Linked DNA regions of Mus musculus. The protein of the gene in region 4 binds, or shares a complex with, the protein of the main gene of each other region. Links are inferred from orthologs where the notes say so. Each region holds a gene or a part of one and is shown on either strand. Other genes may lie near its edges.

Evidence for each region.
Region 1: the proteins of Hras (region 4) and Plce1 are in contact, whole or in part, in a crystal structure (PDB 2C5L), measured with the Homo sapiens proteins. The link is inferred for Mus musculus from reciprocal best matches to the Homo sapiens genes HRAS and PLCE1. Residues at the interface, in NP_001123914.1 of Homo sapiens: Ile24, Gln25, His27, Val29, Glu31, Asp33, Ile36, Glu37, Asp38, Ser39, Tyr40, Arg41, Glu63, Tyr64; in NP_057425.3 of Homo sapiens: Phe2138, Pro2146, Glu2147, Gln2148, Pro2149, Arg2150, Thr2151, Val2152, Ile2153, Lys2154, Lys2171, Tyr2174, Ser2175.
Region 2: the proteins of Hras (region 4) and Grb14 are in contact, whole or in part, in a crystal structure (PDB 4K81), measured with the Homo sapiens proteins. The link is inferred for Mus musculus from reciprocal best matches to the Homo sapiens genes HRAS and GRB14. Residues at the interface, in NP_001123914.1 of Homo sapiens: Glu31, Asp33, Pro34, Ile36, Glu37, Asp38, Ser39, Tyr40, Arg41, Tyr64, Met67; in NP_004481.2 of Homo sapiens: Val109, Lys111, Asp116, Glu117, Thr118, Ser119, Arg120, Ala121, Leu122, Asp123, Lys140, His142.
Region 3: the proteins of Hras (region 4) and Rasgrp4 are in contact, whole or in part, in a crystal structure (PDB 6AXG), measured with the Homo sapiens proteins. The link is inferred for Mus musculus from reciprocal best matches to the Homo sapiens genes HRAS and RASGRP4. Residues at the interface, in NP_001123914.1 of Homo sapiens: Glu3, Gly12, Gly13, Gly15, Ser17, Ala18, Ile21, Asp33, Pro34, Thr35, Ile36, Glu37, Tyr40, Arg41, Asp54, Leu56, Asp57, Ala59, Gly60, Gln61, Glu63, Tyr64, Ser65, Ala66, Met67, Arg68, Asp69, Gln70, Arg73, Thr74; in NP_733749.1 of Homo sapiens: Tyr228, Gly232, Val234, Val244, Asn248, Ser251, Asn288, Met291, Ala292, Gly295, Gly296, Cys298, His299, Ser300, Leu327, Ala328, Ser329, His330, Asn331, Asn332, Tyr333, Ala334, Arg337, Leu351, Gly352, Val353, Leu355, Lys356, Val359, Ser360.

What each region holds. Positions count from the first base shown.
Region 1 is NC_000085.6:38,521,820-38,528,978, reverse strand, and holds the start of Plce1 (1-phosphatidylinositol 4,5-bisphosphate phosphodiesterase epsilon-1), read right to left. Parts: upstream 4,783-7,159; 5' UTR 4,721-4,782; coding exon 3,527-4,720; intron 1-3,526. UniProt on the Homo sapiens protein: The production of the second messenger molecules diacylglycerol (DAG) and inositol 1,4,5-trisphosphate (IP3) is mediated by activated phosphatidylinositol-specific phospholipase C enzymes.
Region 2 is NC_000068.7:64,926,992-64,933,583, forward strand, and holds part of Grb14 (growth factor receptor-bound protein 14), read right to left. Parts: intron 6,367-6,592; coding exon 6,229-6,366; intron 3,306-6,228; coding exon 3,195-3,305; intron 3,005-3,194; coding exon 2,909-3,004; intron 1-2,908. UniProt on the Homo sapiens protein: Adapter protein which modulates coupling of cell surface receptor kinases with specific signaling pathways. Binds to, and suppresses signals from, the activated insulin receptor (INSR). Potent inhibitor of insulin-stimulated MAPK3 phosphorylation.
Region 3 is NC_000073.6:29,131,855-29,138,954, reverse strand, and holds the start of Rasgrp4 (RAS guanyl-releasing protein 4), read right to left. Parts: upstream 4,023-7,100; 5' UTR 3,883-4,022; coding exon 3,860-3,882; exon of another isoform or gene 1,450-3,859; coding exon of another isoform or gene 1,415-1,449; coding exon 1,230-1,414; intron 145-1,229; coding exon 39-144; intron 1-38.
Region 4 is NC_000073.6:141,190,038-141,197,316, reverse strand, and holds the start of Hras (GTPase HRas), read left to right. Parts: upstream 1-3,312; 5' UTR 3,313-3,477; intron 3,478-3,508; exon of another isoform or gene 3,509-3,814; intron 3,815-4,335; 5' UTR 4,336-4,376; coding exon 4,377-4,487; intron 4,488-4,696; coding exon 4,697-4,875; intron 4,876-4,976; exon of another isoform or gene 4,977-5,026; coding exon 5,027-5,186; intron 5,187-5,280; coding exon of another isoform or gene 5,281-5,362; intron 5,363-5,849; coding exon 5,850-5,969; 3' UTR 5,970-7,279. Other genes in the region: Lrrc56 (leucine-rich repeat-containing protein 56), read right to left, coding at 148-335, 1,305-1,314. UniProt on the Homo sapiens protein: Involved in the activation of Ras protein signal transduction. Ras proteins bind GDP/GTP and possess intrinsic GTPase activity.

The DNA.
Region 1 (7,159 bases), on a different chromosome or scaffold from region 4:
GCTCAGCAAAGGTCTTGAGTTCAATTCCCAATGTGGCGACTCACAACCATCTACAGTGGGGTCAGATGCTCTCTTCTGGCCTGCAGGTGTACATGCAGATAGATGATACAGACATAAAATAAATAAATCTTAAAATACTATTTAAAAACAACAACAACAACAAAAAGGAAAAACACCCTTAGTCAAATGTTTAACCTGCAGACTTTATCCACTTGCCTAACTCTCCTTTGTCGAGCCAATAGATTTAGAGCGAGAGGGAGTATGTACGTGGGAGGGGGGGCTTTAATGTTTTACAAGCAGGAGTAGGCTAACAATCTGGTTAGTCAGCAAGCATGAATCCTCGTTAATGTCTTCATCCAAACCCATTCTCTCCACACAGCTGTGAAAATATAAATTCACTGGGCTGTTCTGACCAACACACCCAGAAACAAAAAAATATGATGCCAAAGAACTAATTAAATGAATAACACATGCCAGCAATGCAGCGGAAGAACTGTTTGAGCAACATGGCCGAGGTAATACAGTTGTTCTTTGGACAGCCACGGAAACTCAAAACTTCAGGTATTCAAGTCGTTTATATAAAATTGGTTAATATGTGCATGCTACACCCCTGCATACACTTTTAACCACCGCTAGGTTACTAACATAATGTAAATGCAACTAACATGATGTAAATGCTTTGTAAATAGTTACTGTGCTGTGCTATGTTGCGTGGGGAATAATGACCAGAAAACACAGCTGTATATGCTAATAAGAGGTGTGTGTGCTTGTGTGTGTTACTTGGAACTAAACCTAAGGCCTCTAACATTCTAGGCAAACTCCACACCACTAAGCTATATCCTCAGGCTTTTCTTGTATTTATTTTGACATGGGGTCTCACAATGTGGCCCTGACCAAGTAATAGTTCTGCCTCAGGCTCCTAAGTAATTGAGATTATAGATCTATGGCGTCAGGCCTGTTTAAATATTTGTGGGTAGGAGGGAGGCAGTAGTTACTGGAATTTAAACTCCGGGCTGTATGTGTAATAGGCAAGCTCTCTATCACCACACTACAGTACTAGAAATTTTGTTTTCCAAATACTTTCAATTTGTATCACATAGACGTCAATGAACGCAAAGACTGCAGATATGGAGTCATCTGAACATTAGAATTTATACTGCTATAAATTTCCCTGAGAGGCCACCAAAGAGAAGGACCAGGTGAGAATGAGTCCACAACCAAGTAAGAAGCTCAAGGTCGGGAGGACAGAAGCACTCTCTGCTTTCAGCACTGTGCCGAGGATAGCATCTCACAGCAGAGTGGCCTACAATGGCACCTTTATGCCTGGTTCCCTTGAAAGGTAATTAGGACCTGTCAATCACTTATGGATTCCAAGCCATGATTTAAATGTGGATCATCTCTAGGGTCTGTTTCCAACCATGTCATAGTCCTTGTTTTCTATGCATTTGGAACTATGTTTGCATTATATAGACAAAAGAGCACAGGGTTCTTACAGCCTGGCTGAGCAGCCAGGCAGAATACACATGAAGAAATTGAAAAACAGAATGGGAGTGTATGACTGGGATACCGCTGGGGTACCACATCCTCAGATGAAAGGCATAATTCACAAGACCCAAGGCAAGTGAATATATTTCAGCTGTGCTAATTTTGCTAAGCATTTCACCAGACTCTAAAGGACAAATGTGAAGAGGAGGCTATACTTTAGGGAACACCCATGACTTTCAGACAGTGTGGCAAAAAAGAAAAAAAGAAAAAAGAAAAAAAAAGAAAGAAAGAAAAAGAGCCAGCCCATGCCCACCTATACCATAAGTGCCAATAAAAATGCTCACAGCGTCCAGGAGGGCAGCTGACACAAAGGGAAGAGACATTCCTGAGCCCCACTCTAGCTGAGCTGTGGTGACCGCCCCTAGCCTCAAGGGACAAAGCAGGGAGGAGACAGTTTGGTTTCTTTCAACTGTAAATTAACCAGTCCAGGGCCTGACCAGTGAAGGCTTTAGAAGGTGCTGCCCCACAGCCTCAGGGTTGGGGGAGCCAGAAGGAAGCATAGTCAATCTGATAATCAATCTAAAACTCTCAGCCAACACTAACTTCCTCGGAAGCTTCCTTTAGGTTAATAAAGAAGTGTGAAAAACTGAAATGTGAGCGTTCTAGAAACAACTTCCCAGAGAGAATCGCTGAAGGAAGCAGGAATGTTTAGCAAGGATAGAAGATAGGTGATAGGTGATAGGGCTGGTGGTGCAATCCGGTAATCCCAGCACTTGTTAGAAACAGAAAATCCGGAGTTCAAAGCCATCATTGGCTATGTAGTAAATTAAGGACCAGCCTGGACTACATGAGACTCTTCACAAGAAAGAAAAGAAGAAAAAGAAACAACGAAAAGGCGAAGTATATAGTGATGTCTTCAGCAGTGCAGATCAGTCCAGAGAAGGTCACCTGGGTGTGTAACGGTTAAAGAGAGAAAACCAACCATGTAAAACATTCAGAGGACCCGGAAACTTGGATGGGAATTAAAAAAAAAAGACTATTCTCATTCATCTTAGGTAGAAATTTAGCATTTCTTTAATTGTGAACTTTTACAACAAAGTTAGATAGAAGCAGAAGTAACTGATTGTGTCACCAATAAAAATAACACAGATTTTTCACATCATGTCATGGTCATTCATGGTGGATATCTTACAATATTATGCCTATTTAGGGCGAATGGTTGCCTCTATTTGACTAGATTAGAGGAATTTCCTAAATCAAGAGGCTATCACATTCCTAGGTAGCAATGAGCAGTATGGTAAGAAAGATGCACTTAAATTACCATCTCACAGCTTCAAAATCATCTTGTGTCTCATGAATGCAAATCAACATAATTTTCTCCTTTACTGATGTTTGCCATTGCATTTGGTGCATTTAAAGTGTTATTTTACATCCGTAGACTTCATTGAAGAGGTACGTACACAGCACACTCACCCCCAAAAATAAATAAATAAGTCTAAGGGAGAAGAGAGGAAAGACGGACTTAAGCTCCTTCAGGACAGTAAAACTAAAGGCCACAGTGGACCACAAAACACAAAAAAGACTTGGGAATGCCTCGCCAAAGCTAATAGACAAAGCCATTTTTCTGTCATCAGAAAATCTCTAATTTCTCCACTCCCTACATAGGCCTCTGTGTATTGCATGGCCTATATTGCTGCAGAGTCAACTCAGACTTGAGACCTATGAATTGTAATATCTAAATCCCAATAATTACAAATGACTCCTGTAAGAATCATATTTTGACAGATCTTGCTTTATCTTGTCCATTAGTTACAGCAATATAAGTAATGAAAAATCATGTTTACTGAACTAATGGAAACAGGTCCATCTGTAATCTCAAAATTCAGGAGGATCGCAAGTTCAAGGACAAGCTAGGCCATGCACATAGCAAGTTCCAGGCCTATATCCGTATGACCCTCTATCCAAAACTCCTAAAGGAGGGTGAAGGAAAGGAAGAAAAATAAGACCAAAAAAGGTGATGGGAAGAAACCCAAACTCTTACCAGGCACCACTGGGCTTCAGACAGACGTTGGCTCCCACTTTGCCTTATGTCCATTGCTGACAGAGTTCCCATTACATTCCCACAAGGCCATAGGAGACCAGCTTTCTTCTGATCAACGTAATTCCAAGCAGCTGGCCCAATACAGCCAGAAGGCAGAGTTCTCATGATGGCTCTGGTCCCAGTATACACAGACTTCTTAACTTCCCTGTCATTTTTACAAAACCTTCGGACTAACAACGTGGACCGCTCCTTTTTGCTTTTAAAAAAATCGTCTACGTCTTCACAATTGTCAGAGAAATCCTCCAGAGGGTTCAGAAAAGTCTTGGCAGCAGGACCGTGAGCAAAGCCGTCCTCGCAAAAGCCACCACCTGAGCAGACCTCATCGGCCTTTGAGCAGGAGCTTTCGAAGCACAGGTATTCATCGCGCAGCGAGGTACAGTGCTCACACTGGACTTGCCCATTCTTACTTCCACAGGTTCTTGTCAACTCCACCAGTTTGCAAGCATACGCCATGCAATTTTTATTTTGCTGCCCCCCAGGAAGAGTAACACAATTTGCACAGTCATCCAAAATCAGGTTTTCTGACAGGGTATGAAAAGCATCCGACATTGTCCTGTCAGCTTCATAATGGAAGTGAAATACCGCCGTGTTGCGGTCAGAGTGAGGTCCGCTGGACTCCATGATCCTAGGCTGACTTCCCGCAGGGCTCACGTCCATGGGAGAGTCCTCCATCTCCAGTTGAATTCCAGGGAGCACCTTCCTTTCCAGGGGAGAAGGAATTCCAGGCTGCAAACACGGGTCTTCTGTGACAGAGTCACGGGCTTCACAAAGCTGGCTCCGGGGAAACTGGTGCTGGTGGCTTTGCACTAAACTGTTGCCGTTCATCGCGTGGTTTTCCGGGGAGTCCGGTGCGTTTTCCTCCCAGCCCTCTTCGTTGGAATTCTCATCGCAGACTAGTTCCCCCCTCGCTATTGAGAAGACCTTGGACAAATCACTTCTAGACGACTCTTCCTTATGTTTGTTCCACTGTGAGATGGTAGGAGGGATGAGCGCACCCTGCCTGCCAGCACGTGCCCGAGGAATCCCCGCATCTGAGACCTTTACACTCCTCTCTTCTGCCACCGACTGGGCAGAAGCCACTTTCCTTTGAGTCACAGGGATGAGGACAGAAGCGGCCATTTCTTCCGACGTCATCTTGACCACTGTCGTTCATTCAGCTACTCTTCTGTGTTCCCTTCCCTGGCGATCATGTCCAGACAACAGATAATCTCAGATAATTCCAGTCTTTGTGCGAAGCAAGCTTGACAGTTCCTTTCATTCAGGTATATTAAGCGCCAAAGAAAACTTTCCAGTTGTAATTTCCTACAAGAACAGTTTGTTTTACACCAGTATTTCAAAACAGCAGGTCCGTTTTCTTCTTTTCTCTGTTGCCCGAAGCTAATTTTTAGAAGGATTTGGTTCGGGATCACATTCTGCGACTTGTGGCTTATTGTTAATGTGCAGGGATTTAAAAATCCAGTTTGAGTGTTTTCTGTGCCCTGTAAGAAAAGAGGTAATGTCAAACATTATGGCATTAAATCGGTTTTCAAAATCGAGTTGATAATTTTAAGTTAATGAAAACTATAGGTCAATTCTGAGGAGAGAGTTTTGCAATCAAAAGTTAGTCTGAATATTTTAAGCATGTATCATTTTGGCTTGACAATACAGAACTTCTGCTTCCAGCAAAAACGGAGTACAAAAATCAGATTTATCCTAGTGGATTAAATAAAACCCAAGCAAGAAAAAAAGAAAAAATACTAGTTTTTACACGATAAAGAGTAAAAACAAAATGTTGATATCTGAAGCAAAATAAAAATAAAGTGAGAACAGTGTAAATAAATACCTGAGCTCACTGCTTAGAGAGTTTTCAGGCCCAAATAGAACCCAATAGTGTGTGCATGTGTCTGTGTGTGTGTGTGTGTATGTATGTATGTATGTATGTATGTATGTATGTATGTGTGTGTATGTATGTGTGTGTGTGTGTGTGTGTGTGTGTGTGTGTGTGTGTGTATGTAAAAGGGAAAAAGCTAGAACTTCAGAATGGCCAAAGGCACTAGGGACATAAGACAGGAGTTGCAAAGGTAAGACAATATATTCTCATCTGAAACAATTCAAGCAAGGAAAGAATAGAGTAAGAAAAAAAACTATTAAGCAGAATTCAGTAGCAAAGAAATGTCTTCAACAAATGAAGATGAAGTAAGACCTTTTTCAGACATGCAGAGCCAAAATAATTCTAGCAGGGTTGAACTACAGAAAGTAATAAAGGAAGACCTTTGTGCAGAAGAAAAATTCTACCTATAAAGGAATAGAAGGCCTAAATGTGTTGAATATGTGTGGTTTTTTTTTCATTTTTTAAATCGCTTAGCAAGATAATTCATCATTTAAAGCAAAAATGGTGACTGTGTGTTGTAGGATTTCTTATAAACATTGAAGTGAATTGTCTGGGCGGAACAAAGGTCAAGAGCAGGGACCTGGAACAGTAATCCGACAAGGTTATTTCTATAGGAATCATTATGTGGTTGTTTAAAGGCAGACTAAAGGTGTACACTCTGATCACTTAGAAGAAAAGCACACAATTAAAATCATTAATAATTACAAAACCAAAAGGTAAACAAAGAAGATATGAGACCCAAAAAAAAAAAAAAAAGGAAAGAAATTAACAGTGGATTTAAATATTCCAAAATGCATCTCTAGTCAACATTTCTGTCACAAAGTACACACTTAAAGAAAATATCTCTTTGGTTTCATTTTAGTAAGAAATTGTTCAGTAGAATATAAGTTGACATAAAAGACTTTGATTTATGAAGCTGTAGTATTTTAAATAGCTTAGCTAATTTAAAGGCTTCGTCCTTTTTCTTTAACTACATTGAACCTTTTCCTAGTGCTGCATATTATACTGTAGAGTAGACAGCCAGCACCTGCATGCAACCCTAACAGAGTCAAACAAATTCCCATGTGATGAGGGAGGAAACATGAGGAATTCTGGGAGTAAGTCATAGGGCTCTGGCTCAGCTGCTGCTGAGCCTCCTCCCCCCACCCCCTCACCCCCCCACTCCCCTACCCTCCCACCCCCTCACCCCCACAATGGCATGCGAGTGCATCATCTTAAGAAAGGCTCCTCTGGCCTCAGTCAAGGCTTCCAGTAATTACAGTGGCAGCCAGCATTTGCAACCTCATAAGAAACGCTCGGCCATCAGCAGTGGAGGCACACGCCTTTAATCCCAGGACTAGGGAGGCAGAGGCAGGCAGATCTCTGTGGGTTTGAGGCTAGCCTGGTCTACACAGTGAATTCTAGGACAGTCAGGGCTACATGAATAAACCCTGTCTTGAAAAATCAAAAGTGAGAGAAAGAGAGGAGAAAGGGAGGAGAAAGAGATAGACCCTGAATCATATAAGGCCTCTCCCAAATTCCTACCCAGTTATATGGAATACTATATGCGCGTTGTCTTTCACCATAAATTTTGTGGTATATTGCTGTATAGCAACAGATAATACAAGTAAATTCTGCTCTCTATACTTGGGAAACTGGACATCAAGGCCTAGAAAAGCTAAATCAAGGAATAGTGAAGGATTCAGATCTAAGAAGCCTGACTC
Region 2 (6,592 bases), on a different chromosome or scaffold from region 4:
ATCCAATTATTTCTCTACTTCTAAAAATTATTACTTTAATTTCAAGTTTGAGTGACATTAATGGGGCCTAAAGAGATTTAACTTCGAGCCAACAATAACTTCATAAACACAGAGGGGCTTAATTCCTAGATACACTCATTTTAGAGAACAGATAGTAACCTCAAACCAACACTTTCACAAGAAGCACGCTGCTGGACCACCCTTTATTTATCAGCCTTGAAAAGCCAGCTATCTACTAATAAGACGGTTTTCTTCACAGATGTATTGTCCCCGGTCCTGGCAGTGCCTCTGTGCTGCTGGGGGTCTTTAGAAAGCATTTAACTCTGGCCGAGGGGTAGGGCATGGGTCACCTCAACATTTGCCTGTCCCACAGAGGGGCAGATAGGCACCAAACTAGGCTAGAGAGAAGCTGGCAGAGTTCTAATTGATGGAAATGGAAAGAGCTGACACCCAGGATACAGTGCAATACAGAAGCCATGATTCTCTTTTCTAAGCCTCAGAGTTTCTATACTTCGTTAAATAACTAGAGTATTTTCCCAAGGGAAAAAAAAAAAGAACTTCTCCTGTGCAAGCATAGGTCGGTGTGTATGTGTGATTTTGTATGTGGATGAGCGCACATGTGTGGGCATACATGTGTTTGGAAGCCAAGGGTTCACACCTTGAGCCTTCCTCAATTAGTTTCCACTTTGTTTTAAGATGTGTCTCTCTCATTGAGCCGCAAACCTGTAGACTTGCTGGGCCAGCCAGCCACCACATTCCAGGGACTCTTGTGCCTCTGAGTTGGCAGTGATAGAATTGCAAGCACACCACCAGTCAAAATATAGAAACAACCAAAATGGTCTATCAGTGGACAAACAAACACCAGTGGAGAGGGGTTCATATATCATTCCAGTCACAGGAGAGGTGAACTCATAAAGGCAGCTCAAATCAGTGGCTACCAAGGCCTGGGAGAAACTACATATTGAGAACACTATCTTCTTTTGGACCTCAATATAAGTTATGGTTGCCCAACATACTGACTGTGTGAAACATTAATTGTTCATATGAAGATTAACTTGATGAACTCAATAAAAAAAAAAACCTTGAAAACTACAAAATAAAGCTTCTCTCTACATCTAGCATGGCATGATCCTGTTCTCGCTACACTGTTGTCTTCTTTTCTATCTCACTCCCATGCAGCATGCCAGGAAAGGGTTAACACATTAAAGATAGTAAGAACAGCATAACAAAGACAGGAAGGAACACGGGTCCCAGAACATAGGCCCAGTGTAAACTAAGATGGAAGCCAGTGAGCTTCCTTGGCCTCTCCCTTTTCTGCCACAGCTGAAAGAAAATGAGGGACACTAAACATTCCAAACGAGACCCAGTTTTTATTAATTTTTATTTCTGAATGCTGTAGAAAGCTGGTTTTAGTATACACTTAGTTATCTAAACCTTTCTCTGCTAATATACTAAATGATATGATACATGATAATTAGTATAACATGTGGTATGTGATATGATATAATTAATATAATATACATTATTTATACATTACCAAATCATACCAGTTATCAAGTATGAATTATGAAGAATGTCTCAGAATCTGCTGAAACTTCTATTTTATAAGGAAGATTTAAGAACAGTAATAATCCACATATTTTTGAACTTCAGTAGCAATTGAGAACTGACTGTATAAACAGGCCCATTCTGAGGGTTGTGCCTTTTTCAATGAACACATTTTTTTTTTGTAATTTCCACAACGATTACTAACAAAGCAGTATTTTCAGAAGGAAATGGTTGATCATTTTTATAATTAGAAAATTAAAGCTGTAACAAATTTACTGGCATAAATAAATACTTTAAAAATAAACGTGCTTTTGAAAATTATTGTTTGCATTTTTATCTATTTACTTATTTATTTATTGTGTATTTGCACATGCATGAGTTCTCATATGCATATGGAGGTCAAAAGCAACCTTTTGGGTCTCTGGTGTCAAACTCAGGTCATTATGTTTGGAACAAGTTCCTTTACTTTTGAGTCATTTTAATGTCTCCTAAATATGTGTTTTCAACACAATTTGGAAGAAACCAGTCTGTGTCCTCCCTATTCTTATCTACCTTTGGAACATTCTAACTCTCCTCAAAAGTTTCATCAACAAATTATACTAACAAAATTTTAATTTCAACATGGTATACAAGATATGCATCAAAACATATTCAAAATTAAATGTATGTACCCATTTTCCGCTGTACTCATTACACTACAAAGCACTTAATAAAGCAGTCGCTGCTGGAGCGGGGGAGGGTGTCAGTGCTGTTTAAGAGTGTCGACCATGCTCCAGGGTAAAGCTACACATCTAAGAACACTCACAGAGCAGAAAGTGGACTTTATGGAGGGGTTGGGGGAATACACAGCCATGGATTAGGAGAAACGCAGGGTGGAACCAGGAAGAGTTGGGGGAGGAATGACGAATATGATCAGATGATCAAAAGATGTAGGAAATTCTCAAAGAACACACACACACACACACACAATAGAATGTAAAATAATTCCAATTAGCAATATCTAAGGGAAAAAAAATTAAATACAACTCCCTATGGGTTTGGGGCAATTTTACAAACACAGACTAAGTTGTATACAGGAGTCCTGTCACTCAGCTACACTGGCTATATATGTGAGACCAACAATAAAAAGTCATTTCTAGAAACAGAATACCTGCTTCACACAGAAAAGACTCGTAGATTAGGATAGTCACTCTATTCTGTATGTTCATCTCTTGGACTCAAGAGAGCAGTGGTTATTTTTCTTTTTGCCTTAGAGCCACACAGGTGATGGGAGGATCTTCACATTGGAAAGTAGATGTGTCTTTAAACACTTACAGATGTCAGAGCATCTCGCAAGCACCCACCCGTCCCAAGAGATTACCTTCAGCAGTCGGATGGCGGTCACCCAGCACGTCCTGCTCTGCTCTTCTTCTGCACAGAGCATTTTCAGGTCCCGGGGCCCTCCTGCTTTGTTAGGCTAGAAGGCCACAGCATATTATTTATTGTTAATGCATATCTCGAAGGTAACACCTGTTGAAATAAAAGCCACTAAAATTCTCCTATACATACGAGAACTCTAGCTCTTTTCAAAAGAAATCGAAAGAAACTCAAGATTACCTAAGAGGCTGAGGCTTGCTTTACTCATCTATCAAAACATTAAGCAGTACCTTTAAGCAGAATCCATAGGGAGTTGGCGCTCCGTGTTTTTTTTTTCCTGCCAGTGACATATAAACGTGACTAGTGCTGAATTCACTGAAAAGCTGCAAATGCCGTGGTTCCTTAAAGAAAAAAAAATATGTGAACATTGACTTGGATGCACAGTTCTACAATATCTTTTGCATTTCTCATATTGCACAATTTATACCTCGGCCAAAATAACATGATCTCAAGCAAAATTCTACACCAGTGTCACACACACACACACACACACACACACACACACACACACAAAGCCAAAAGTAAACAGGGTTGCCATTTTCGTAAATAACCAAGAGCTGCATACAATTTCATTTAAATTGACGAGGGGTAGTTTGTTTATAATTTTACTATTTTAAGTTTCCGGTTCTCATTAACCATCGTGTCAAACTGAAAGAGGAAAACAGAAGCCTGCCAGGCTCGTGAAAGCGTTTCTGTCATCTCTGTGTCGAGTGATCGCTTCTGCCACAGGAGGAAATCTGGCTTCTTGAGAAGATGGGAAAAAGAGAGAAAGAAAATCCTGCTTCTTTCAGATACACCCATCCCTCGCATGTGTCTGTCTGTGCTGACAGCTGACTTCGTGGCCATCTTCTTCCACAAAAGGAGAGAAGTCTACACAGAAGAGTTCAGGGAAATTACCTGGGATGGAATGTGTCTGATTGTCAGGGCAAAGGGAAATCATGAGCAGCTATTTCTTCTCAGGAAAACCCGAGAGATTTGGAGCTGGCCATAGGAAATTCCTGGGTCATAGTACTCCGTGCTAGGTTAATAGCTTGGAGAAGTGCTTAATTCTGAGGTTGACTATATAATCAAAACTGGCCCAAATGCATTTGTTCTCCAAAACCTTGCGACTAGCAGTGTGGGCACTGACCCACAGAACCAGTCTCACCTGGAGCTTGTTAGAAAGGTAAAATCTCATTGCCCGCTCCAGGCCCATTAAATCAATATCTGCATTTTAACCAGATCCCAGGTGGTCTCCTATACGCAGTGTTTAGCAGCAGTGCTCTCTCTCTCTCTCTCTCTCTCTCTCTCTCTCTCTCTCTCACACACACACACACACACACACACACACACACACACTCACACTCATGCATATATGCACACACAATTTACACATGGAAATAATTCTAAAGTAACCTACTAAGGAAAAATTGGGGACATAATAACACTGTGATTTTTTTTTTAAGACCTTAATATATCTGCTACCTGATAATCTTGGTTTTGTTTCTTATTTTTCCTATGAAGAGGTCTTGGTTGAATACTTTCACTTCCAGTGAAGTAAATGTTGTGTGGGAGTGACTAATGGCTACTATAAGGCTAGGAGGTATGACTGTGAATTACATGTGAGTGAAAGCCTTAAGTACTGTCTTTCCTTCTCCTCTCTTACATAAACATCTATACATTTACTAATAGATTCTGACAACTAAATCAATATAGCTCTTAGTATGTATTTTTATTATCAAATCAGTTTCTGTCAGTGAATAATATATTATAGTTTAAAAAGTCACAACAGTAAGAAAGCATTTCCATGTTCCAATTCCTCATTTTGTTTTTCTTAAACAAATGATTTTCTTTTTGTAAAAGATTTATTTATTGTATTTATGTGAGTATACTGTAGCTGTTTTTAGACATACCAGAAGAGGGCATCAAATCCCATTATAGATGGCTGTGAGCCACCATGTGGTTGCTGGGAATTGAACTCAGGACCTTTAGAAGAACAGTCAATGCTCTTAACCGCTGAGCCGTCTCTCCACTTCCTCAAACGTTTTTTGTTTGTTTGTTTGTTTTGTTTTGTTTTGTTTTGTTTTGTTTTAAATCAAGTCTATTCTGGCCAGGCATAGTGGCACATGCCTTTAATCCCAGGACTTTGAGTCAGAGTCAGGAAGATCTCAGTGAATTTGAGGCTAGCCTGGAGAGAGTTCCCAGATATCTAGGACTACATAGAGAGAACCTGTCTCAAAAACCCAATCTAAGTAAGTGAATAAATATAAAAAAAATATTCTGCTTTACTTTCCAAAGACGTCAAGAAGTACCTGCTTAGGAACAATGGCACACAGTGACATCTTTTGAGTTGTAACAGCTTACTGGTAAATGATAATAAAATGTGTTCCAATTTGGACAGGGTTGTTCACAATGCTTAATGTTCTGTGTATGTGTGTGTGTGTGTGTGTGTGTGTGTGTGTGTGTGTGTGTGTGAGTGTATACCATGGCATGCTTGTGAAGTTCAAAGAAAGAGTAGGAGTCAGCTCTTCCCTTCCAGCGTGTGAATTCAAACAATCTTGAACTCAGGTTGTTAGACTTAGCCAGTGAGTGCTGAGCCATTTCACCTGCCTGATATGTGGATTAGAAGAATAGTATTTTATCTATTGACAGCCACCATTTAAAATACCATTACTCCAGGTTTTAAGATAGACTTTCCTGCCTCTGGAGTCCAGTTATATAAAACAGTTTTGTTTTGTTTTGTTTAAGGTTCAGGGGCTGCAGAGATGCAGAGATGCTTCAGTGGTTGAGAAAAGGTCTTACTGCTCTTGTAGAGGACCAGGGTTTAGTTCTGAGCACCCATTCAGTTGCCTAAAACTCCAAGTCCAGGAGACCCAACACTTCTGACCTCTACAGGGTCTTGCATGCATGTTATTCATAGGCATACACTCATGCACACAACATAACCTAAACATAGAGTGAAACTAATATTTTTTAAAAGAAGGAGGAAAAATCACATTAGGTTTCAAATCTGAAGCCTTTGATGAGAAAGAAGCAAGAAACCCGGTTTGGAGTGGGAGGAGTGGATTCCTTTGATATATGAGTAAGAGCATCCAGAGTCCTAAATGCTATAGACAGACTCAACGTAAAGCAAATCCGAAGACGTTTAAAACCTATTATAGCAGATGTCTAGGGTTCAAACAACTCTCGACATCAGTTAGGAGAGTAATCACCATAACAAAATCAAACCTGATGTCATAGAGCATAATAGATAGTTCATAACACACCCCAAATACTGTGGCTTACCTTGGATGTGCCTTTAGTAGAAAAATATAAGCCAGATCTTCTGAGAAAAAAGTAAGCTTTTTTCCAAGACTTCTTTCCCTGTTCCTTTGCATGTAAGAAGCCATGGATTTCAGGATACGTGCTGGAGCTTAAAAACACCTGGAAGACACATGAGATGTGATCCTAAACTTTGGGAACAATGATGCCACTAGTCTTTTACCCATCAGACACAACCATGAAAACCCACATAGTAGCAATGGCATTTGCACTGGACCAAGATTACAATGCATGCTTGACAGAGCTCAGTCAAAAAAACCTGGCACAAGTTCCGAATTAAGTTTGTGCAGAAAATATACATTCAATATAATCAGTAAAATGGGTAAAA
Region 3 (7,100 bases), about 110 Mb from region 4:
CATCCCTCTAGATGGAGAGCCCGGTTCTGGCAGGATATGAAGTCAGCAGACGGGCAGCGAGCTCTGAGGATGGCAGCACCCAGCTGTGCATCGTGAGCACCATCTTGAGAATGTGGTCCCCTCGGCGCAGGCTGCCAGCCGAGTCTGGAGGAGGAAAGACAGGCTCTCAGCCTGGGCCCTGAACAATAGACCCTGGCTTCGAGAACTGAGTGGGCAGGCTGGCGGGATGGCATACATGTTTGTTCTACCTTTAATGCCCTGCAGGAACTTGGGTAAGCAACATGATTTCCTCATGCCTCCGTTTCCTTAGCTGGGGGGTGCATGGGATGGCATGAATCTGGCTCCCTGCCTTCAATCACAGTTGAGATGCTTAAAGTGCTTTGATCTTTTTAAGATTTAATTTCATTATTTTAAAGTGTGTTGTGTGTGTGTTTGCTCAAACGGGTGCAGGAGCCGTCTCAGGCCAATGTATCAGGTTCCCTGGAGCTGGGGTTACTGGTGGATATGAACCTTCTGAGGTAGGTACTAGAAGCCAAACTCAGGTCCTCTAGAAGAGAGATATGTGATTTAATCACTTAGCTGTCTTTCCAGTCCCTCTCTTATTTTTCTATTATTTATTTATTGGTTTTTCGAGTGTAGCCCTGACTGTCCCGGAACTCACTTTGTAGACGAGGCTGGCCTTGAACTCAGAAATCCGCCTGCCTCTGCCTTCTTAGTGCTGGGATTAAAGTCGTGCGCCACCACGCCCGGCTTCTTTTTTTTTTTTTTTTTGGTTTTTTCGAGACAGGGTTTCTCTGTGTAGCCCTGGCTGTCCTGGCACTCACTTTGTAGACCAGGCTGGCCTCGAACTCAGAAATCCACCTGCCTCTGCCTCCCGAGTGCTGGGATTAAAGGCGTGCGCCACCACGCCCGGCGTCACGCCCAGCTTCTTAATTTATTTTTTAAGACACGAATTACTATGTAGTCCTGCTGACTTGAAACTCGCTATTTAGATCAGCCTGGTCTCAGATTCAGAGAAATGCCTGCCTCTGCCTCCTGAATGCTGGAATTGAAGGCCTGCACCACATCGCCCAGGTAAGTCTGGAACTTTATCCTCCTGCCTCAGCCTTCAAAGGTAAGCCACCTAGCTCTCTCCCATCATTAACACAAGGACGAAAATTCCTCCTACTCAGCCATTTTCTATCCCAACCAGCGAGACTGAGATAGGAGAGGCTGACCCAGCTACTCACCAAAGCAGCGGATACATTCCTCCAATAGCTCATCTTCGCTGCAGCTGCTCTCACTCAGCACTCCCAGATTCATGGACGCCATGACCTTGCTGATTTCCCGGGGGGTGGGGCACGTCTTGTGGCGGCGGGCCTGACGTGACCGACCCCGCCCTCCTGCCTTCCCAGAGCATTCCTGATGAGACTTCCTGCAGGTACACACAGAAAGCCCACCGCGAAGCATCACGGGAGCCCCTTTCTCTAAGTACACTCCACGGACCAAAGTTCTTGCACATCAGATCTCAAGAGATACCCATGAAGGACTCATGGCTGACAAATCCCAAAATATTTTAGATCAGAGATCCAGGGCCAAGGGCGACTGACTCGTTCCTCGTTTTGTTTTTAATTATTGTTTTTACAGTTAGCGTACAAAATGATGGGACACTTTTCACACACAATATATATCATCGTACTAGTATCCATCTACCCCCTCTCTCATCTCGTTGGTTTCTTCTCTCTCCCAAATGTCCTTCTGCCTTCCTGTCACATGTGTATGTATGTACATATGTGTGTATGTATGTACATATGTGTGTATGCACACACTTAAATCTAGGTTTCATATACAAAGGAAAACACATCATATTTTGCCTCTCCCCTGTTATCCTCCGTTATTGCCACAAAAATTTCCTCTTGACAATATAGTCCCAAAGCATCATAATTTTGCAGTAAGTAGACCCCCAGGGTTTATCCTAGGACCCGAGGTCCAACCCCTGACGACTTCCCAAGGTGTCTCACGAGTTGGTCTTCAGGTTTCTTCCAAAGCCAGAATGTTCCCCCCCCAATCCAATTCCATAGAAGTGATACTTCTGTGTCCCAGTAATGGAGATGACCTATGTGGTCAGGCCTCTTGGAATCTACCCCACCACCCCATTCATTCCTGCAAGGCAGAATACCCCTCATCCAAGCTAGTTTTCGAACACCCAAGAGTCTTAGCCTCTAGCCTGCTCCCCACATTTTTTGAGCCAGGAGAGGAAGTAGACCAGAGCCTTCTCACAGGCTCCTGAGAGCTAGGCAGGATCCCTGGGGCCACAGCAGCTTCAAGGAAAGTTTAAAAATAACCTTTCCTGTCATATGCCTCCCTCGGTGCCTGCCCCAGGTGAGGAAAAAGGGGTGGTGGGAAGAAGGGAGGGCCAGAGGAAAGGATTCGAGGCTAGTCTTCAGACTCATCCAGAACTGGGTTCCAGAAATTTCTGATGGCTGTGTGCCTTTTAATAAGTGACCCAATGTCCTTCTGGCCCTTGCTTTCTTCATAGGAAAAGGTAGACTCATCCTTGGATTTCCCCCAGATGTTAGAACATCTGGATCCTCAAAGGGACCCGGCTGATGGGGCAGCTGACCTCCAGATAGGAAAAGAAAGCTGCACGTTGTGATGCTCTCTTGTAATCCTAGCTGCCTGGGAAACGGAGGCAGGGGGATTGCACGTTTAAGGCCAGCTTGGGCTTCAGAGCAAAACTCTCAACACAAAGACAAAAACAAAACACCACCTCAAAAACAAAAACAAACAAAACAAAACAAGACAGAAGGAGTTAGCCTGCCTTTCCGCATGGCATGGGTGTGAAATCACAAACAGGGACATCCTACAATAAAATCTGCCTTGTCTCCTGCAGCAGCATCAAAGGGGCTGTTAAATGTTAAATAAAGTGCACACCTGTTGCACAGCATCGACTAGAACGCAGGCTGAGCACTCTGTAAAAGATCAGGGTCTTGTGTTTTTTGTTTGTTTCTTGTTTTTTTTTTTTTTGTTTGTTTGTTTAGGTGCCCACACCAAGAACCAAAAGATTATCTTCCTGTGCGTTCCACCTAAGCACAGCATCTGAGGCTAGCCCACCCACAGTCTCACAGAATCTAAAACTTTCCGGGTGAGTCCAACGGCCTGTGCTTTTCAAGCCCTCTAAGTGGCTGTGCAATTAAAGACCCTCTGGAGTGGTAGCCAAGGTAACTCTGACAGAAGCGGGAACTGAGAAAGAGTACTGGAGTAACTTACCTAAGGCCACTCGGGCAGAGGATGAGATAGCAAGGATCCTCTCACTATACTGAATCCCTTTGCTCATCAGGTCATGCCAGGGAAGCGAGCTATCCAGGTTGGGGACCCAGCACCATCCCTCCTTAAGGGGTCAGGTGGGCAAGCAATGCCAGGAGACAGAAATCCGTTTGAGATCCTGCTGCCCCCTTACCTGCAGACCGGCAGCCCCCGGGAGTGTCTGGAGCAGCCAGGAGTGGTTTAAGAGTCAGGGAAGCTGCCTAGACCTACGTCATGAACCTCTCTCCTGGGACCCGGTCCTGCAGGAGCCTGGAGTTTCCAGTCCGGGGTGAGGGTGGGGGGCAGTGACCATAATAGGGAACAGAGAAGACCCCGGGGAAGACAGGGGCAGCCAGCTGAGGGAGCTAGGATGGAGAGACATAGGTCAGCTCAAACTCCAGGGAGAGACAGCAGCAGTAACGCAGGCTCAGGTGCTCAGCTCCCTGAAGCATCTCATTCTTGGACTCCACTAGAGCGGGTCTTGGAGGAGTCCCAAGACCCCTCTCCCACTCCCCACAGCCAGCGGCGCCAGGACTTTGGCTCTCCCAGGTCTCCTTGGGAAGGGTCCTCTTACCTTTTGATGTCTTTCCGGTTCATGTTTCTTGGAGGGGATGGGGAGGGTCGGGGGGGTGGGGTGGGGGCTCCTGACAGGAGTGTGATCAGGTTCCTTCCCTAACCAGATTGTCAGGCTCCGGGGAGCTGGAGCGTCCACCGAGTTTAGGAAGGAAAGAGGAACTGCCCCTCCCCACCCACCCCTAGGCCAGGGGGAAGGAAGAGGCTGGGGAGAGACCAAAGGCTCCCCTCCCCCTCACGGGGGATCCCTGCCTGCTGAGGTTTCCGGTGCTGCCTACCCCTCAGCGGGTTCGCTATCTATCGCTCCATCTTCCTTTCTCCCCCGTCTCTGTCACGCACGCACACACGCACACACACACACACACACACACACACACACACACACACACACACACACACACACACAGTTTTAAAAAGTGTGTAAAAACAGGCTCAAAAGAAAAGTCTGCATTTCTCTTTGCTTTTCTATCTCTCCCCTCTTTCCCTCCCTCTCCCCCCCACCCCGCCCCCTTCCTTCTCTCAAGTTAGATTCTCCTGAAGCTCACAGCTCAGGCTGGCCTTACAGCAGCAGCAAACCTCCCGAATGAGAACGAAGCAGGATTCATCCTCCCATATGCTGGGATTACAGGTGTGAACAGCAGGGCTGGTTTGAAGGACACCGTTTATACCTGGAAAACATTTTCACTTTATTACCCTCATTGTAAAATCCTTTATGTAGCACCTACTGTGCACCATATACTTCTCTAAGGTTTGGGGAGTTTTATTTCCTTATTATTTTCTAAAGGCATATTCCCCTTTTGCTGTATTTTATTTTTACTTGGAATCATGTGTATGTGTGGGTCTTTATGTGGGTGTGTTTGGTGCTCTTGGGGAGGCTAGAAACATCAGATCCCCCTGGAGCGGGGGTTCCAGGTAGTCCTGAGTCACACACAGAGCACAGGTACTGGGAACTAAACTCAGGTCTTCTGCAAGAGCAGGGCAGCCTCTTGGTTTTCATCTTGATATTGACTCTGCACTGCACTGCTTTTTGTTGTAGTGGTGTGTGTGTGTGTGTGTGTGTGTGTGTGTGTGTGTGTGTGTGTGTGTTAATTTTTAATGTAGATCAGACTAACCTCATATTCTTCTTGTAGCTGAGTAGCTGAGGATAACCTACCTCCATCACCTGAGTGCTGGAATTGTGCCTGGTTCACACAGTGATGAGGACTGAAGTTAGGGCTTGGTATGTTCCGGGCAAGCATCCTACTAACCAAGCTTCCCCCTCTACTCCCAAGGTTATCTTTTTATAATAAAAAATGTTACGGATAGAGGTAAGCCGTAAGCCATCTTTGTTTGTTTGTTTGTTTGTTTTTCAAGACAGGGTTTCTCTGTATAGCCTTGGCTGTCCTGGAACTCACTTTGTAGACCAGGCTGGCCTCGAACTCAGAAATCCGCCTGCCTCTGTCTCCTGAGTGCTGGGATTAAAGGCGTGTGCCACCATGCCCGGCACCGTAAGCCATCTTCACAGCTCCTTTGTACTGTTTCAAAGCAGAAAAAATGTTGATGTTCAGTTTTTGGAGACAGAGTTTCTGGAACTAGCTTTGTAGGCCAGGGTGGCCTCGAACTCAGAGATCCTTCTGCCTCAGTCTTCTGAGTGCTAGGATTTAAGGTGGGCACCACCATGCCCAGCCAGAATGACTGTTTCAAAGCCCCTTCTCTTTCCATTACTCCTCTTAGACTGCTATGAATGGTACTTTACATTGCTTGGTTTTGTCTCAAACGTTCTCTCTCTCTCTGTATAATTTTGTGCCCATTTTTTTATCTAAGTCTGTCATACTTTACATATTTTTTAATAATGTTTTTTTAAAGATTTATTTATGATTATAAATAAGTACACTGTAGTTGTCTTCAAATGCACCAGAAGAGGGCGTCAGATCTCATTATGGATGGTTATGAGCCACCATGTGGTTGCTGGGATTTGAACTCAGGACCTTCAGAAGAGCAGTCGGTGCTCTTAACCACTGAGCCATCTCACCAGCCCGCTTTACATATCTTTAATTGAAGTACCCAAAAAGAGCACACGTTGGTGTTTCAGTTGACAGATCGTCACTGAATGAGAAAACCCCAGCGGAGCTCACGTCAGGAACAGAACATTAACTGAGGCTGGTGCTGCTTCCAATCCCTGCCTTGGGTAGGGTCAGGCAACTAAGGCAGATAGATCTCTATGGGTTCAAGGCTAACCTGATCTAGACTGGAGCTACCCACCCCCATCTAACCCTACCCACAATCCAAAACCAAAAATGTCAGTTGACTCCAGAATACTCTTTCTTTCCTTCTTTCTTTCTTTCCTTCTTTCTCTCTCTCTCTCTCTCTCTCTCTGTCTGCCTGCCTGCCTGCCTGTCTGTCTTTCTTCCTTTCTTTCTCTTTCTTCCTTTCTCTCTCTCTCTTTCTCTCTCTCTTTCTCTCTCTCTCTTTCTTTCTTTCTTTCTTTCTTTCTTTCCTTCTTTCTTTCTTTCCTTCTTTCTCTCTCTTTCTCTCTCTCTCTCTCTCTCTCTGTCTGCCTGTCTGCCTGTCTGTCTGTCTGTCTGTCTTTCTTTCTTTCTTTCTTTCTTTCTTTCTTTCTTTCTTTCTTTCTTTCTCTTTCTTCCTTTCTCTCTCTCTCTTTCTTTCCTTCCTTCCTTCCTTCTCTCTTTCTTTCTTCTTTCTTTTTCTTCTGAGACAGGGTTCTTCTGTGTAACCCTGGCTATTCTGGAACTTACTGTGTAGATTAGGATGGCCTCTAATTCACTTGTGAGGTCTGCCTCTGCCTCTCAAGTGCTAGAACTAAAGGCGTGCATGTGCCACCTGGCCTTCAGAACATTCTAAATCTCTCTTAGTTCCTGTTACTGTCTCCCATGATTTATCTACAGCCTGATGTAAGCAGAGTAGGTGGGTTGGTTATTTATTTATTTATTTATTTATTTATTTATTTATTTATTTATTTTGTCTGTGTTAAAACTGTATGCAGGGGCTGGCGAGATGGCGAGGCAGTTAAGAGCTCTGTCTAAGCCGGGCGGTGCTGGCGCACACCTTTAATCCCAGCACTTGGGAGGCAGAGACAGGCGGATTTCTGAGTTCGAGGCCAGCCTGGTCTACAAAGAGTTCCAGGACAGCCAAGACTATACAGAGAAACCCTGTCTTGAAAAACCAAAAAAAAAAAAAAAAGGAAAGAGCTCTGTCTACTCTTACTCAGAGAGCTGGAGTCTGATTCCCAGCATCCAATCACA
Region 4 (7,279 bases):
GTCTGTCACTTGGGGGTTACTGGCAGGGACTCTAAGGGTAGAAAGGCAGGGAGAACTAGTGGAGGGAAAGCTAGATATAGGCAGAAAGGGTACCAAGATGTCACTTCATGCAGACCCATGGCAGAGCCTCAGGCCCCAATCACTTACCAGTCGAGCAGGGGATAGGCGCTCCTCCACCCACCGCTCCCTATGGATATCCCCATGGCTGCCCAGTCTCTTGTTTTGTGGGTGGGGGTTGTTTAGGCCCTGCCAGCTCAGCTCCCGTACCCGGATACTAGCTGTGCCTGGTCGAGACCCCTGGGATCCATCCCAGGCTGGGTCCATCCAAGTCCAACCTGTTAAGAGAAGCAGAGGGCCAAGTCTCCTTTACAAGATTCTAGTTCACAACAATGGCCCACAAAGCCATGACATTAACTCTGATCTTCCATCAGCCTCCCATTTCCCAGCCTGATTGGACCTGCTCTGAGGGGCCCCAGGCAATGTCAGTGGTCTAGATAACTGGATAGCACACATACCCCGCCCTAGCTTCTGTTCAGTTTTTTTTTTTTTTCCAATTTGGCTGATACCGTCCCTTTGCTTCTCTATTTTTAAAAAGAGATGTATGTATCCATTTTACAATTTGTGTGTGTGTGTGTGTGTGTGTGTGTGTATGTGGAGGCCAGAGAACAACTTTGGGTGCCATTCCTGGGGTGCCATCTTCTTCTTTTGAGATAAGGTTTCTCACTGGCCTGGGACTCACCAAGTAAGCTAAGCTTTGTCTCCACAGTGCTGGGATTATAAGCTCACACTACCATGCCTGGCATTTTGTATGATAATTTTGGGGATCAAGCTCAGGTCTTCATGTAGACAAAGCAATCAATTTGCTGTCTGAGCTATCTCCTTGGCCCCTGGTTCTATATTTGTTTCCCACACTGTCCACACAATGAGCACCGGCTCCAAGCTCCAAGCTTTGCTGTCTGGGGGCATCACAAAGGCTGTGAGTTGAGGCTGGAAAGCTAGCTCAGTGGTTTAGAGCACTTGCTCCTTTTACAGAGGACCTATGTTTGATTCCTAGCATCCATGATGGGTGGCTCCACATACACACACACACACACACACACACACAGACACACACACACACACGCTTATAAGATAAAGATTTTTTTAAAAGGCTGTGAGGCTAGGGATACTGTACAAGATGCCTGTAGTGACCAGCAGCAAGTGGCTACTGACAGTTCCCTGAGCTGCCCCTGACAATGGTTGTGGATCTGCCTTCATTAATGGTTTCATGAGTCTAAGTTTAGGATCAAGATAGCAGGCATTACCTCCAACCATCCACACAGTCTTCTGACTAAGTACCTGAAGGTAGCCGGCTCCTGCTGTAGGTCAAACATCCGGGCAAGGGGGCCACATGTGTCTACATGTAACACCTGTAAAAGAGAATTAGATTAGCTTCCTGGTTAGATCACTGTACTCTGTGGTACCTGAGCTGGCCAAGGTCACAGTATCCAGAAACAAGCAGGTACAAGAATGGGGGAGATGTTAGGTGGAGGCCTGGCCCTGAACTCCCTGTAACCATTCTAATGGAGGATAAAGCTTCTACAATGAGGATTCAGCCAGGGTCCCTCTTGGTCACCCAATGCAAATAAAGACATGATCCAAGTCCTACTTCTACTCCCAGAGGGGAGCCTGGGAATGCTCTTGTCAATCATCTGTGGGCCCGCCTCTCCTGCAGGCACTCCTTCCCATACTTTTTTTTCAGGTGCCTCTACACCTCTGGTAGGAAGTGCATAAACTGTTTCTCCTTAAAGATACAGAGGTCTGTGTTTGGCCCTAGATCTTATACTCAAGAGACAATGGCTAAGGTAAGAACTCTGTTCAGAACATTAAGTATATCCTTTCTTCTTAGTCCTCCTCCGTGGCCTCCATGCAGGTTTGGCCGACCCCTAACTCCTGTACTTCCTGCCGTTCCCAGATACATTTCTCTAGTTAGAGTGATCCCCTTCCACTGCACTTCATGACTTATTGCTTACTCTGTCCTGTATGTCTTGTCCCACAGACGTGGGTCGCCCAGGATCCCCCTAGCACAAAGGACATGGAGAGGAGGTGCTAGGCTCTCACCTGAGGGGTGGGCCAGAGTGCCCAAGACTTGGGGCGCAGCACTAGGCCCCTCCACCGCGGCGGTCGCTCTCTCAGGTGAGGGCTTTTTTTTTTAATTATTATTTTTACCACCGCGATGGGGTTGCAGGCCTGGCGCCATGGCAACGGGGGCGGGGCTCATTTGAATACCCAAATATTCGTGAGCCGCGGGCATCCGGGGCTTCGGTAAGATGAGCCCCGCCCCCTAGCAACGGTTGCCGGGACACGCGGCAGATCCGGTGGAAATGCTCCCTAGAGTAAGAGACAAGCCGGACGGCTGAACGCAGTGAAGGCACTCACGGTGGTTCAGAGAGCCGTCCGTGAGAGGCTTCTGGCCAGCTCTCGGTTATCTGCCTGCTAGATGAATAGAACAAGCCGAGCTTGCACCCCGGGCGGCGACCGGGGTGAGCGTGCAACCCCAGGCCTGCACGACCTGAGTAAAAGCCTGAGTTTTTCTGAGGACGTGCTTATTCGTTTCTTTGAAATTTCAAAAAGTGTTGAAAACATGTCATTTGCGTCTGACACAGATGTACCCTACTTGCTTGAGTGGGTGGAACACTTCATTTCGCCCCAATACCAACTTTTCTGACTTTCGGGGTCGTTCTTCAAATGGACGCAGTATGAGCTTCTGCAGTGTTGGGACCTCGAGTTTGAGAGCGGTAGGGGGGTCTTCTCCAAAACACGAAGAGCGCGGTGTGATGGGCCGACGCTGCCCCAGGATGGAGCCTTTGCTCCACCTCGACCTACGAGAACAGGCAGCTAGGGGTTCCGGCGAACTCTGTCTTCCTCTGTTATTCCGCGTCCGCGGTGCTGACTGTCCCCGACACCAATACCCGGTCGGGATGACCTTTCCACTCGTGGGCCTTTGGGCCTTTGGTGAGGCTGCAGGGTGGAGGCTCTGTAGTAGGTCCTCAACGCAACCCGAGCGTGCACCAGTTTCTCTCCGGAGAAATCCCGGGCTCGTAAGCACGGTCTCGGTCTGTCTCTTCTGCACCTAGGCACTAGACATCACTGTTGAGTGCAGGACCCAAGTTCCGGCACTGCCTTCCCCGCGGCTCCAGGAAGCCCCGCCCAGCTTCGGCTTCTGACGGATGGGTTGCTCAGCCAACCACAACAGGTCGCGGTGCGGAGGAGTTCGACCAATCACGGGCCGCCTCGAGTTGACGGACGGGCGTGGGGCGGAGCGGGGCGGGGCGAGCGCGGGCCCGGCCAAGTCCCCGCCGTCCGCTCCCGGCGCCCGCAGCCCGAGCCGCACCCGCCGCGGACGGAGCTCATGCGCGGGCCCAGCCGGCGCCCGTCCGCGCCCCCGCCCTGCCCCGGCCCCGGCCCCGGCCCCGGGGGCAGTCGCGCCAGCAAGCGGTGAGTGCGGGCACGGGGTGGGGCGCGGGGCGCAGGTGATCGGTGCTTCCTTGCTCCTCTCGGCCCGGCAGCGTGCCTAGCGTCCGGCTGCCCGCCTCTGCGGCCGGACTCGCTCTGCCTGTGGCCGTCCTCCCAGCGAGGCGCCGCCCGGGCCTCCGGAGACTCTGCGCCCCGCGGCCATCACGCTCGGGCCTCGGGGCCACAAGGACACCCGCGTTGGGCCCCAACCAGGGCCTTCTGCTCCCAGCCATCCCTCGCGTTCCTGTAGTCACCTGCTTCCCACACCCTCAGCCGTTTTTCCCCCCCTCTGTGAAAGCTCCCTGGCCCCTTGTGGAAGGTTTGTCTTAGTGGAGGGCAGGGTCCTTCTCCAGCCACCCTCCCCCCGCTGCCGGGACCGCGCCTGGCATGCAGTAGGCGCTCAGTAAATAGTTGTAGGTTGCACCCACATGCCGGCGGGCCAGAGCCGGTTGTAGGCTGGCATTGGCCTGCCTGGGCACGCCGAGGCCGCCGTGGCAGGACCTGTTTTTTGGGGGGTGGCCTCAGCCCTCAGGCGCCTCCAGTTGAGGGTTTCTGCCTACCTAGCGACTTCTAATTTGGGTGCGTGGTTGGGAGAAGCTCTCAGCTGTCAGCCCTGCCTTGGGGGCCTCTCCCTGCTTCCTCACACAGCCATTAAGTGCTGTTTGAGGAGGTTGGGGGGTGGGGGTGGGGTCCTCCCTTTTCAAGCTGAAGGTGCCACAGGTGATCAACTGGGCCACTGGCAGGCCTGCCTGCTCAATGCTGGAGAGGGCCCTTGGGTCAGGCATCTATTAGCCGTCTCAAGTGGCAAGGGCCTTGGCTAAGTGTGCTTCTCATTGGCAGGTGGGGCAGGAGCTCCTGGATTGGCAGCCGCTGTAGAAGCTATGACAGAATACAAGCTTGTGGTGGTGGGCGCTGGAGGCGTGGGAAAGAGTGCCCTGACCATCCAGCTGATCCAGAACCACTTTGTGGACGAGTATGATCCCACTATAGAGGTGAGCTCTGCCTACCTGCCAGAGGTGGGCTGTGGCAGTGGTCATGGGTAAATGACCAAACAGCCCAGGTCTTGTAGGTGTTATGGGGTATGATCCATCAGGGTATGAGAGGTGCAAGGGTGTAGGCTGGTTCTGTGGATTCTCTGGTCTGAGGAGAGGTGAGACCCCACCCCCACCCCCCACCCCCACTAAGCCGTGTTGTTTTGCAGGACTCCTACCGGAAACAGGTGGTCATTGATGGGGAGACATGTCTACTGGACATCTTAGACACAGCAGGTCAAGAAGAGTATAGTGCCATGCGGGACCAGTACATGCGCACAGGGGAGGGCTTCCTCTGTGTATTTGCCATCAACAACACCAAGTCCTTCGAGGACATCCATCAGTACAGGTGAGCCACCTATGGCTAGCCCGTGAGCCCGTGGCACACGTGAGGAAGGTTCCGTGTGCACACTGAGGCTTTATGTCTTTTTTTGAATGTCCTGGACACAGTCATGCCTGCAGCCTGCTAGCTGGCTCATATCCACCCCATCCCCCTCCAGGGAGCAGATCAAGCGGGTGAAAGATTCAGATGATGTGCCAATGGTGCTGGTGGGCAACAAGTGTGACCTGGCTGCTCGCACTGTTGAGTCTCGGCAGGCCCAGGACCTTGCTCGCAGCTATGGCATCCCCTACATTGAAACATCAGCCAAGACCCGGCAGGTGAGCCTGTTTCCCTCTCCACAGCTAGTCAAGGATTTACCGCACCCCACCCCAGCCAGGGAGCAGAGCTCATTGCCGCTCTCCCTCAACACAGGGCAGCCGCTCTGGCTCCAGCTCCGGGACCCTCTGGGATCCCCCCTCCCCCGGGACCCATGTGACCCAGCGGCCCTCAAGCTGTAAGTCTCCCAGACCGCAGGGCTGTGAGGGAGGCAAGGGCCAGGGTCTGGGCTTATGCCCTGCAGTTCTGAGTTCACATAGCTCTAGGGCAGGATGGGGTCCCTGGAGAGAGCTGCCCTGAGCCAGGCCGGAGCGGCGACCCAGGGGCCTTAGTTCTTCTTGTCCCCAGTGTCCTGTGGATACTGGCTAGTTTTAAGCCCTTCAGTGTTGTTAGGCTGTTCAACTTGAGACGTACTGGGGGTCTGGGAGAGTCCTGAGTTAAGTGGCTCTGACTTTGAGTGATACTCAGGAGTGAACCCTATTTCAGGAGAGTGGCCTGTGCCTTTTGGATGGCCAGGGCCCAGCTCCCTATTTGTGTTGGTTTTGCAGCTGAGGAAGGGAGCCTCCAGCGTTGGGGTGTGACCTGATCTAGGCAGGGAGTTTCTTACCCAGACAGCACCCCTTTTCTCCCCAGAGTCCTCTCTGATCTAGTCCCTCTGTCCCCAGGGCGTGGAGGATGCCTTCTATACACTAGTCCGTGAGATTCGGCAGCATAAATTGCGGAAACTGAACCCACCCGATGAGAGTGGTCCTGGCTGCATGAGCTGCAAATGTGTGCTGTCCTGACACCAGGTGAGGCAGGGACCAGCGAGACGTCTGGGGCAGTGACCTCAGCTAGCCAGATGAACTTCATATCCACTCTGATGTCCTTGCTCCCCCAATTCTGCCAATCCCCCCCGCCTGCAGTCAGTCATGTCCTTTGTGCCCGTCCCGGCACAGGCTCAGGACATGGAGGTGCCGGATGCAGGGAGGAGGTGCCGACGGAAGGAAGGAAAGAGGCGGGAAGGAAGGAAACGGTGCTGGAGCCAGGCCAGTCCAGGGATGGTGGACAGATGTGACCAAGACCTTCGCATGGACAATTTGAACAGACTGTCATGAACTGTCCCTGTTGCCACTGGCACCCAAGTCCTCCACCCCTCTCAGTTCCCTCCGGGCGCCTGCCTGTGAGGGCACACGTTGCATCACAGTAAATTATTTGATGGTCTTGACTTGTCTCTGGCTGGAAGTAGGAGGTGCACTGCCTGTGGCCTCACAGAAGATGCTGGGCACCTGGGGTCCATCATCTGCCTTGCTCCTGTGCTAGAAGAGGCTGGGGAGGCTGGCCTGGGACCTCGGACTATACAGCCCTTCCCTTCTGCCTGTCCCAACTGTCTTGTGTTTGCTGCAGAAAGTTATAGGCAACACAAGGATAGTCAGGTGATATGACCTATTGTCCTTTAACTAATGGGAGGAGGAGGGCTCTGAGAGTAAGAGGGTATCCCTTGTCTCCAGCAGGAAACACATTTCCTGCATTCTGGGATCCATGAAATACAGCCTCAAGAGTGACAGAGTGTAAGATTTGCCCTGACCCAACATCCTGCAGCCCTCTGACCTGGGATGGAGATTCTAGGACTATGGAAATAGGGCCCTGATGTTATCTGTGTAGCCTCGGGTCCCACTGGTGCCTAGGGCCTGGCATCACAACTCCCTGAGAGGGTAGAAAGTGCCTCACTGGTTGCTCCCTCTTCTCTGAGGTGTACAGATGTTCTTCTCCAAGTCACCTGTATGGCCTTGAGAGGCACGTGCAGGTCAGATGGCTGCTCACTGCGTGCTTCCTTCTGGCTCTAGTCATGGCTACAGGAGGGTCCATCTGCTTATCCTGCTCCTCTTCCTGGCCACTGGGGCCCATGGTGGGTGCCCTTTATACTTTCCAGACTCGAGTGGAATTGGGTGAAGTCCCTCTGTTTAGGGCACTTGAAATGCAAGGAGCCTCCAATAGACATGATGTAGAGCCTGCTGCTGAGTGGCTGGGCAGTGCGACACCACAGTTGCTCTCTTCCACAGCAGCCAAATGTTCAGCTTCCCTTGTCTGTGTGTATCTGGGGCTCCTGAGGTAT